3 linked regions of the Rattus norvegicus genome follow. The protein of the gene in region 2 purifies or fractionates together with the protein of the main gene of each other region. This does not show direct contact. Links are inferred from orthologs where the notes say so. Each region holds a gene or a part of one and is shown on either strand. Other genes may lie near its edges. The genes, in order: Sf3a3, Sf3b6 and Snrpd1.

Region 1 (3,282 bases), on a different chromosome or scaffold from region 2:
TTTCTAAGGCAGAGTCTCACAACAGCACCCTGAGTGGCTTTGGACTCAGATGCCTGCCTCTCCCCAGGTGCTGGGACCAAGGCCAACTACAGCTAATTTCTTTAGGCAAATAAAACAGGCAAACCTTGAAACCACTCTAAGCCTCAGGTCTGGTTCACCCTCCTGTTTTCTCTGATATTCACACTGATGGCTGACTCTACTGAGGGCAGAGTTCATGCCGGCATGAGGCTCATTTGGGAAGTGGCAGTGAAGGGAGAAACGTTAGGTCTCAATTACTTGACACATGCCTGGTGAGGCGGTCCAGATCTGTAATCTCAGCACAGGGAGGCTGAAGCAGGGCTGGTGGGAGTTCAAGGCCAGCCTGGGCTATCATTGAGACACACAGACAGAATTATATATAGGTAGTAATAACTACCCCTAAGTCTAAGCCAATATGGAAGCTGGTGAGAACCAGACCAGGAGGCATTAAGAACAAAAGGATTATGTTACTTTATAGACCTGGATTTCAGAAACAACACGTCTAGAACAAGGGCTGTTTTATTTTCCCACAAATCTTTTTAATATAAAACAAAGATAAAACACATCTCAATTCTGCAATCTGTCAGCATGTCTTCTTCCTACAAGGTAGATACTACATAGCAAAAAGTCTTTAAGAACATTTGGTTGGGAAAAATTTTCTCAGGCTTCTCACGGAAGCCCAGGCATGGCCAACCACTAGAGCAGTCCTTGTCTTTTCAGATCCTCGTATGTCTTCTTGTTCACAACATTTCCACTGGAGTCTTCATATTCTTCCTGAAAAGGAAAGGCCGTTAGCTACACACTGCCAGAAACCAGCATTAATTTAACATAACTTTCTCAACCAGAGCTCCAAGAGGAATCCAAAGCTGTTTCTAGATATCTAGAGTGGCACCAGTCGTGGCTCACCCTTATCCCTTCATAGTCTTTCAAGAAATGCCTTGTGTTTGAGACAAGGAAGCCTGACAGGGAAAGCCTGACAAGGAAACCAAAACAGCAGTGTGAAATGGTGCCCAAGCCTGGGTTTCTGCCCTTGGGCCACTGCAGGAGTTGACAGCGAGGCCAGTCTTGTGTTTCAGGTCTACATTACAGCTGGAAGGGCTCTTGATGCAAGAAAACAAAACTGCAATACTGACATAGAATAAGAGACTACTGTCGGTCTGCACAGGACCAGGACGTTACTGCCACCCCTTCAATGTATGGTAGCCATCTCTGAGACCTGTCAAGACCAACAAGGACAGATTCCCACTCTGAAGAGAGGACCATCTCTGACTTGATGCTTTCCTCAGAGACCTAAGAGGTGACAGACTTCTTTAGAAATCCCCAGGGTAGCACAAGAGACGGGGTGCCCTTATTCACAACTGCCTCAGTGGGAGAAGTGCCTGATGACAAAGACTTAAAGCATACATGCCGACAGGCTCACACACGTGTAGACACTGTCATTACACTTGCTAAAACAGAAAACTCTCTAGCCTCTCCTGTCTGCGTAGTGAGGGAGCCGTCACTTGACGCCACACCTAACACGATCCACATTAACACCCACCTCGGTGTCAGGCTGCCATCGTTCTGAAGCCTTCTGCAGTTTCAGCTTGGCCCACACTGCAGGATGAGAGGTAAGCAGCCATTAGGCCCTCAGTCCCCTGGGTACAGTGTTACATCATTCTCACCGCCCCGCTCCCCACAGGCTCCCGACTGTCAGCCCCCCAAACAGAATTTTGATTTAGAACAACCTGTAGATAAAGCCCCTCTGATTGAGAAATTACCACAGTCTCACGTTGCTGTGAAAGAAAAACTGTCTTAGGACAGAGACCAGAAATCAGCATGGAGGTTCACTCCTATAACCTCAGCACTTGGGAGATAGAGGAAGAAGGATCTGGCAGTTTAAGGCTAGCCTTGGCTACATACTGAGATTGAAGGCAGTTTGTGCTAAATGAGCAACCCTGGCTCAAAAACCAAACAAACGGTAAAAAGAAAGCTCTCTCAAAAGAAGCAGTTTGTACAAGAGTCTAGCGAAACTGTGGGATAAAATAAAAAGGATCATAGCTGAGAAGGCTTCTTAATACATGTCCTGGTTAGGGCTTTATTTTGTTTTTTAAGACGGTCTCTCTATACAGTCCTGGCTGTTCTTGTGCTCGGGTTGGCTTGGAACTCAGAGATCCTGCCTCTGCCACCTGAGATTGGGGAGTACTGGAGTGTGACTTAAGCTCAGCTTTGTCCTGGTTAGTTGTATCTGGGAAGAAGGAACTTCAATATGCCCCCATCATATTGTCTGTACTGCATTGTCTCGATTAGTGATTGACATGGGGTGCCTCCACTCACTGGGGGTGCTGCCACTCCCGGGCAAGATGTCTTGCAAGTTGTAAGAAAGCAGGCTGAGCAAACTGTGGCGAGCAAGCCTCTGATGGGTGTTCCTCCACGTCAGCTGCCCTGATTTCTGCCCTGAGTTCCTACCCTGACTTCCCTCAGTGACACACTGTGACCTCAAAGTGTAAGCCAGACAAACCCTCTCCTTCCCGGGTTGTTTTTGGTCATGTTTATCCTAGTAAGGAAGCAAACTAAACTATAAGCCACACTAGTACCCACACTGCCTTAAAACACAGCCAACAAATGCTGCCATGTTGCTTTCGTGTGCGTGCGTGCGTGCGTGCATGCATGCATGCATGTATGGGCTATGCATACATGTGTGCATCTCTGAATACTCATAATCGCCCATGATGACCTGAGTTTGATTCCCACAACACATGACGGAAGGGGATCCACACATGCATGACCATGCACACATGTGAGCACATACAAACAGTTGCACACAGTAAAGAAATGTAAGAAAAAATGTTTTTCAAGACAGGGAGGGCTTCTCTGTGTAGCCTTGGCTGTCCTGGAATTCACTCTGTAGACCAGGCAGGCCTGGAACTCAGATCTGCCTGCCTCTACCTGCTGTGTGCTAGAATTAAAGGTGCATTCCATCATCACCACCTGGCTCAGAAAAAACGTTTTTAAGCATTTGAAATGTAGATTTACGGGCTGGAGAGATGGCTCAGCAGTTAAGAGCACCCGACTGCTCTTCCAGAGGTCATGAGTTCAATTCCCAGCAACCACATGGTGGCTCACAACCATCTGTAAAGAGATCCGATGCCCTCTTCTGGTGTATTTGAAGACAGCTATGGTGTACTTATATATAATAAATGAATAAATCTTTAAAAAAAAAAAAAATGTAGATTTACAATTCATGCTATTACCTTGACTTAATTTCCTATCAACAAAGCAAAA
Region 2 (3,751 bases):
CTCCTATCTTTGGCATTAATATCATCCTACAGTTTGCTGCTTGCTTGACCTGCTGCATATCCCTCACTCTTAGACTCTTACTCTACACTGCTGACTCACAGCTCACTCTTCCCAACTGCAGTCAACAAAGAAATGACAATAATTACTTATTAAACTGACATGGCTTTGGTCTGAAGCTAAGTATTATATGAATGAAAGAATATTTCCCCTCAGGCTGGCGAACTGGTTCAGCATGTGAAAGGCAGTTACTAGCAAGCCTGATGACCTGTTAATCCCTTGGTAGAGAACGGACTCCCCAGAATTGTCCTACATGTGCTTTATATCATACACACACGCACTAATAAATACATTAAAAAAAGCTTATTCCCGGGGCTGGGGATTTAGCTCAGTGGTAGAGTGCTTACCTAGGAAGCGCAAGGCCCTGGGTTCGGTCCCCAGCTCCGAAAAAAAAAAAAAAAAACAACAAAAAAACAAAACAAAACAAAAAAAGCTTATTCCCTACCTTCACATGAGTAGTGGTGATAATTGTTAAACAAACTATAAACGTTTCAGATTTCCAGGTCAAGCTTTATAATCAACAACTGCCACACAGATATATTTCTCCAGTAAATCCATTTTCTCACTACAAAACACTGTGTGAGCCTCTCCTCTCCTAAAACTTCACCACCTTCATTCCCTGTAAATGTGAAGGGGCTCTATACTTTTCTCAGACAACACAGGATATGATCCTGGCTCCGCACTTCTTGAAGACAACAGATATGATCAATGGGAACTATATATTCCTATTGCTAAACATTATTTATCGATATCTATCCATTTTTCTTCTATTGGTATACTAACCACTCCTATTTCTGTCATGGTTTGAGGTGCTGGGAATCAAATTCATAGGCTCATGCATGCTAGGCAAGCACTCTACCACTGAGCCACATCCCAGCTGCACTCTAGGATTTAACAAATTGTTCTTTTATCAGGTCTCTACCATTCTATTGGCTCATTCTCAATGGTATGTAAAAAGCACTTTAGGTATATTTAGAACAGCTCGATTTCTCTATTAATAAGAAAAATCATAGGACCAACTCTGCAGTTTTGTCTTAATTCCCTGCATCTTTTCATTCTACAGGAACCAAGGTTTCATTCACTGAAATGACTTGCATAAACACGGTTGCCCAAAATCTTCATCAGAATATCCAATGGCCAATTATGTGTCTTTGTTTTGGTGAGATTCTAAGTTTTAACCATTTCCTACTTTCTTGAAAGGATTTTCTTTTCTTTTCTTTTCTTTTTTTTTTTGGTTCTTTTTTTCGGAGCTGGGGACCGAACCCAGGGCCTTGCGCTTCCTAGGTAAGCGCTCTACCACTGAGCTAAATCCCCAGCCCCAGGATTTTCTTTTCTTAAAGATGTTGATAACACTCCGCTCACTGACAACAGTAGAACATAAGCCCGACTTTTCGCTTAATTCACTGCTGTGTCCCAACACCTAACACCGGCGTGTGGCACATAGTAGGTGTCACCGGCATGTGGCACATAGTAGGTGTTGAATAAATACAACTGATGAATTGCTTCCTGTTTGTAAGACCAGAGACACAGCAGGCGCTTACATAGATCAACAGAGGATTCCCAAAGTTCTACGTTCGAGAAAAACCCCAGGCTCCAGCTGGCAATGAACAAGAGTTACTCGGTACATCTTTTTGGACTCAGAAGATCCTAACACTTGGTCCTTGGTGTAGGTCAAGCAGCAGTGACTGTAGACCTTACACGGTCACTGATACCAGGGGGCTCTCACTAGAGCGGGGCGGAGCGAAAAGTCGCTCAAGAAACCCACCCCTGAGGATGAGGCCAGGACAGAATCTCCTTGGACTGAACAGATAACGCGAGCTTTCCCCACCTGTGGGCGGAGGGACAAAAAACGCTCCCACACCCGTTGCGACAGTCAAGCAACGACATCGCTTCCCTACCGCACAGAAAGCGGGGTACTCACATTCGCCCTCTTAGCCGCTTGCATCGCCATCTTGGCGGGCCGATGTAGGTTACCGTAAGATCCTTCTGGGTATTTCTAAAAACTCAGTCGCCTTCGTGGGCGACACGGCGCCACATACAGGATATTTACAGCCAGGTAAAGCCGGAAGCTGTTACGGCACTGCCGGAAGGTCCGCGTCTCAAACTAGGACGTGTTTACTTCCTAGAAAAGATGCTCCAAGTCAAATTAGAGAGAACGCGTTGTCAGTCCGGAAGGCGAAAAAGCGAGCTCTAAGACGCTTCCGGATACCGGACCGGAAGGGGCGGGGCGAGTGCTACAGGAAGGGAGGTGTTCCGCTTGAAGGGGTGTGGCTTGAGGACTGAGGGGCGGTGTCCACGAGTGATAACGGACCTAGGGTCTGAGATTTAGCCCTTAGGCTTCGGAGGCGTTCGTGGCTGGCCAGCGCCTCCTTTACTCGGAAGGTCTATCCCGGGGCCAGGGTCTCGGGTCGCGCTTCACCTGACGGTCGAACTCCCTCACCCGGTTCCCGCGACTCTTGTCCACGCAGACAGAGCACACCGCCCTTCACATACACCTTTTTATTTCCTTAGACCAGCTTTACAGGAGCGGACTTGGGAAGAGAGCCCACTCCCAAGTTTGCTCTGAGGTCCTCCTTGGGGCAGCTCCAAGACGATTTTACCCACGTTCCTGTTAGCGTCCACATATTAGCCACATGAATATCAGTTGCTGGGTAGACTCTTCCAGAACCGGCAGCAGACGTTGGGGGCTGTCCGTAGAGAAGGGCAGAATCTGCTCGGTGAAAGTTTCCACCAGTGTTTGTTTGTACTAAGGAAAAGAATATCAACCTGAATTCCCCATCCTGCCAGTCTCAATGTTCTCTGAGTATCAGAAACAGCACACCCTTCCACTTACCGTCATGAAAGAGAGTGCTTCCAATGTGCAACCTAATTCTGTACCGGGATGGAAGACTGCAGTAAAGTACTGGTGTAACTGATAGATTTACATAGCTTAATACAAGAGGAATGATGAAGCCTTATCTTACCCATTAGGTGAGAAACTGACGGAATATATTTCCAAAGTTGGCTCTTTCTGTAATGCTACAGAAGATTTTAGGAACATAAATCTGTTGAAGGTTCAAACTTACTTACCTAATAGGCTTTCTTAATACACTGAGAAGAGGTCTACCCTGAAAACAAAGCCTTGGACCTATATTAAGACTTTATACTGTTAATCCTGATAGAAAGCTATATAAATAAATATAGGAATACATGGGAGGGTTGGGAGAATTAATTCTCTGTGTACAGTTACCCATCGATACACAAGGTGGCAGATTTCTTCATAGGCTCCCTAAAGTGAGCTATGACTGGGTATGTACAAAGGCAGTTTTTTTGGGTGTCACTCATACTTTCTTTCACTCAGCACTCACCTTATCCCTAGATCGCAGCAAACTAGTGATGGGACTTCCTCGTTTCAAAATAGTTTTAAAAACAGGGCACATTAAAACTTATCAACAGCTTCTATTAAACCACAGAGAACGTGGCGACCCTCAAGAACCAGGCAGTTGACATTCTCCCAATAGGATCAACTCCAGCATCTTCCAAAGGAGAGAGATTGGTAGTAATGTTGGAAACAAAAATTGGTACTAGTTAAATCAAATTTAGGTCTGACAGTGTGTACCCGTAATCCCAGTACTTGGAGGTTGAGGCAGGAGGTTGAGGCTAGCCTGGGCTACCTAGTAAAACTTGCCTCAAAATAAATCAATACAAGTGCAGG
Region 3 (3,651 bases), on a different chromosome or scaffold from region 2:
TAAAAAGACAAAGTTAAATTAGCTGTATGGGTTAAAAAAAATTCACAATGAATTTACAAGTATTTATCAAGCATCTAAACAAGTGGTAGAGGGAGAGGACAGGGAAGCCATGCAGCCAGCCCCCAAATCTAGACTCCATGGAAGAAAAGAACAGCAGAGAGGACTGGAGGGCTGGCTCTTCTCCACAGCAGCACCAGGAGCTCTGCGTAGCACATGTACTAAGACAAGCACACGATGTTCTGAGCGACAAGAGTACCATTGTTCACAAACATACTTTGAACAGTGAGTCACACTATATATAAACACCTTTACACTTACCAGCCTCTCTTTTCTTAGACTTCACTTTAGGTTCGACATCCACAAGTAGTGTATCTAGAGGTAAACTGTCTGGTAGAATAAAATACCGAATGTTATTGCCTCGAATACTCAATGTTTCCAACTGTACAGGCTCTCTGTTCTTCAGGGTCATTTTCACAGCTTTAAGGTGCGTATTCATGCTGACATCTACACCTAAAGGGGGGAAGCAGAACAATTACCAGCATGATAAGAAGGCAATCTACCTTGTGGAAATAACACCCTAGGGAGTTCTTTTTTTTTTTTTTTTGGTTCTTTTTTTCGGAGCTGGGGACCGAACCCAGGGCCTTGCACTTCCTAGGTAAGCGCTCTACCACTGAGCTAAATCCCCAGCCCCCACCCTAGGGAGTTCTTAACTGCTGTGTCACAGGTCAGTTCCTGTGACAACTGAATACACGCACAATGGGGGAAATGCCAAATACACGCACAGTGGGGGAAATGTCAAAAGAAATCAGTAATGTTCCCTTCACAACGACTTTTCCTAGCCATAATGCTTCTGTACAGAGCTGAGTGCACGTACAGAACTGAACGCACTGGTGGTGTGATTAAGTGACTCCTGTAATCTCATCATTCAAGAGGCTGAGGCACAAGGAATGCACGTGTTCAAGGAAAGCCTGGACAACAAAGAAAGAACCTATGTGCAGACAAAGGAGACGAGCTCAGCAAGCTATGAAGAGCCATGAGCCCACTACCTTCAGAACTCAATTCTTATCCCAGGATTGGATAGTGTTTGCAGTAAAATCCTCCCATTGTCCCCATAACTTCCTACCCTCTAGCATGCCACAGGTCTTTCTTCTTAAAGACCTATGGTATTTTTCCCATCACAGGTAATTTTCCCTATCACTAGGAACTCTTCCCCCACTTTCCTGAGACAAAGTCTATGTGCCCCAGCTGGTCTCATACTTGTAATTCTCCTGCCCAAGTCTCTCAAGTGCTTGCTCTACAGGTACTCACCATCATACGCAACTTAACACACCTATTTAGTTACTTACAATGACTTTTCAGGGGCCAGAGACACGACTCAATGGTAAGTGTGCAAGGCTCTTACAGAGAACCAAGTTTCTCTTGGAACTTGGAATCAGGAGGCTCAGAACTAATTGCCCGTAACTCCAGCTCCAGAGAGACCCAGTACCTCTGGCCTCCAAGGCCCCTGCACTCACATACATACAGAGTTCTAAAACAGTCTTAGGACAATGTATTAGTATGAGTATGGTTATATGGGAAGGCAAGTGTCTGTGCGCTATGGTGCACGTCTAGAGATCAGGAACCACAACAATCAGTGTGTGCTATGGTGCTATGGTCTAGAGATCAGGAACCACAAGATCAGTCCACTCTTTCGTCTGTGTAGATCCTGAGGCATGGACTTGGCTGTCAGGCTCGGCAGCAGATGCCTGTACCAAACAGCTGAGCTGACACTCCCCCTATCTTGTTTTCTGAGACGGAGTCTCTCAGAACTTGAATTACAGGACTAGAAGTACCCAGCTTTGGGGAGCTGGGGTCTGAACTCAGGCTCTCAAGCTTGTATAGTGAGCACTTCCCAACTAGATCATTTGTCTGGGTCCTTGTTATGTCTTTCTAAGTGGAAAGGATTTGTTTTTGTGGTGCCATGGACTGAATCCAGGACCTCAAGCATTCTAGGCAACTGCTCTATCACCTTGTAATACGCCCTTAACTGAGCCTGTCTGTATATTTGTTTTTTTCTGTTAGACAGGCTGTTACTATGTAGACCAGAGTTGCCTCAAACTAAGGGTTCCGCTCCAGCCTTCTAAGTATTGGCATTACAAGTATGAGCCAATGCCAGGCTCACCTTACTGCTCTTTTCTCTAAAAATTCACTACTACAAATCCTTTCTTTGCTAGGCAGGAGTGAAGCAGCAGAGGTAGGTCAATCTTACCGAGTCAAGGCCATCCTGCTCTACAAACCATGTTCCAGGACAAACAGCTATACTGAAAATCTGTAACAAACAAACAGAACCCCCCCCCCAAAAAAAAACACCCAATAACAAATGCTTTCTTCTTTTTCTCCGAAGAAGGAAGTTCTCTTCTTTCCTAGATAGTCTTAATACATTCCATCTCCTCTATATGCTTATGTGTATACATTCATATAAGATACAGAAACGTATGTTAGTGGTTTGTTTTGCTTTTGTATTACAGTTTTCATTGTTAGATTTTGACAAGAAAAGGGGGGGGCGCAAACATGCCACTCTGGGGTTCGGGAATATAGCTCAGCTGGTAGTATACTTTCTTAGCATACATGAAGCCCTGGTTCCAATCCCTATTACTAAATAAAGAGGTGTGGTGGGCATGTCTGTAATACCAGCAGCCAAGAGCTAGAGGCACAAAACCAGAAGGCATCTTCAAATATACACAGTGAGTTTGAGGTACATTCTAGAATACATAAACCCTACATCTAAATAAGGAGAACGAGGGAGGAGGAGGAGGAAGAAAGAGGAGGAGAGGACAAGATCTTTCCCAATGCTGTTCTACAGAAAACAGACCAAATCCATCCTCAAGAAACTTTAAGGAGGGCAGCAACTGTATACGTCCTTAGATATGCAGACTGCGCACATCTAGAAACATAAACAGGCAGCTCCATTCACAATTAGCATTGAAAACTCCTAGAAAAGCCACAAAATGCCATCCCATTTTCTCCTGGTTTACTAAAACATTGGACCTACCTATTAAAAACTTAGACATCTACAAGCTCAGTATTTTAGAGAATAGAAACACATGTTAAGATACTATTTTTCCCCCTTCAATAACCACTTAAAAGAAAGTTTTAGGAGAAAATAATAAAGGATGAACAATGATAAAAATCAGTTCATATACACAGAAATACCATAGTAAAATATCATATATAATTAACATAGGCCAACAACAACTTACAGTCAAACATGAAACACAAAAGCACAAGTCTCAGATGTGTTTTGGAGGAAGCAACATTCTATGCAGAACACATGCAAGCAAAAGGTACACAAGGCAAGAAAACAGGAGCAGCACCAGCAATTTGGTTTAGTTGTAGTGCAAGAATGTAAGAGGAGGGGGTTGGGGATTTAGCTCAGTGTTAGAGCGCTTGCCTAGCAAGCGCAAGGCCCTGGGTTCAGTCCCCAGCTCCGAGAAAAAAAAAAAAAAAAAAAAAGAATGTAAGAGGAGTCAGGCTGGAGAGAGGGCTCAGCAGGTAAGAGCACTGGCTGCTCTTCCAAAGGACCTGGGTTCAATTCCCAGCACCCACTTGGCAGCTCACAGCTCCAGGGTAACTCCAGATCCAGGGATCCAATAGCTTACACCGACATACATG

What was found.
Region 1: the proteins of Sf3b6 (region 2) and Sf3a3 purify together in Homo sapiens (affinity purification with mass spectrometry; 3 studies listed by BioGRID and IntAct, with this or other methods). This does not show direct contact. The link is inferred for Rattus norvegicus from reciprocal best matches to the Homo sapiens genes SF3B6 and SF3A3.
Region 3: the proteins of Sf3b6 (region 2) and Snrpd1 fractionate together in Homo sapiens (co-fractionation; 3 studies listed by BioGRID and IntAct, with this or other methods). This does not show direct contact. The link is inferred for Rattus norvegicus from reciprocal best matches to the Homo sapiens genes SF3B6 and SNRPD1.

What each region holds. Positions count from the first base shown.
Region 1 is NC_086023.1:142,269,291-142,272,572, reverse strand, and holds the end of Sf3a3 (splicing factor 3A subunit 3), read right to left. Parts: intron 1,615-3,282; coding exon 1,559-1,614; intron 793-1,558; coding exon 715-792; 3' UTR 536-714; downstream 1-535. UniProt on the Homo sapiens protein: Component of the 17S U2 SnRNP complex of the spliceosome, a large ribonucleoprotein complex that removes introns from transcribed pre-mRNAs.
Region 2 is NC_086024.1:33,544,010-33,547,760, reverse strand, and holds the start of Sf3b6 (splicing factor 3B subunit 6), read right to left. Parts: upstream 2,267-3,751; 5' UTR 2,009-2,266; coding exon 1,979-2,008; intron 1-1,978.
Region 3 is NC_086036.1:1,972,570-1,976,220, reverse strand, and holds part of Snrpd1 (small nuclear ribonucleoprotein Sm D1), read right to left. Parts: intron 511-3,651; coding exon 319-510; intron 1-318. UniProt on the Homo sapiens protein: Plays a role in pre-mRNA splicing as a core component of the spliceosomal U1, U2, U4 and U5 small nuclear ribonucleoproteins (snRNPs), the building blocks of the spliceosome.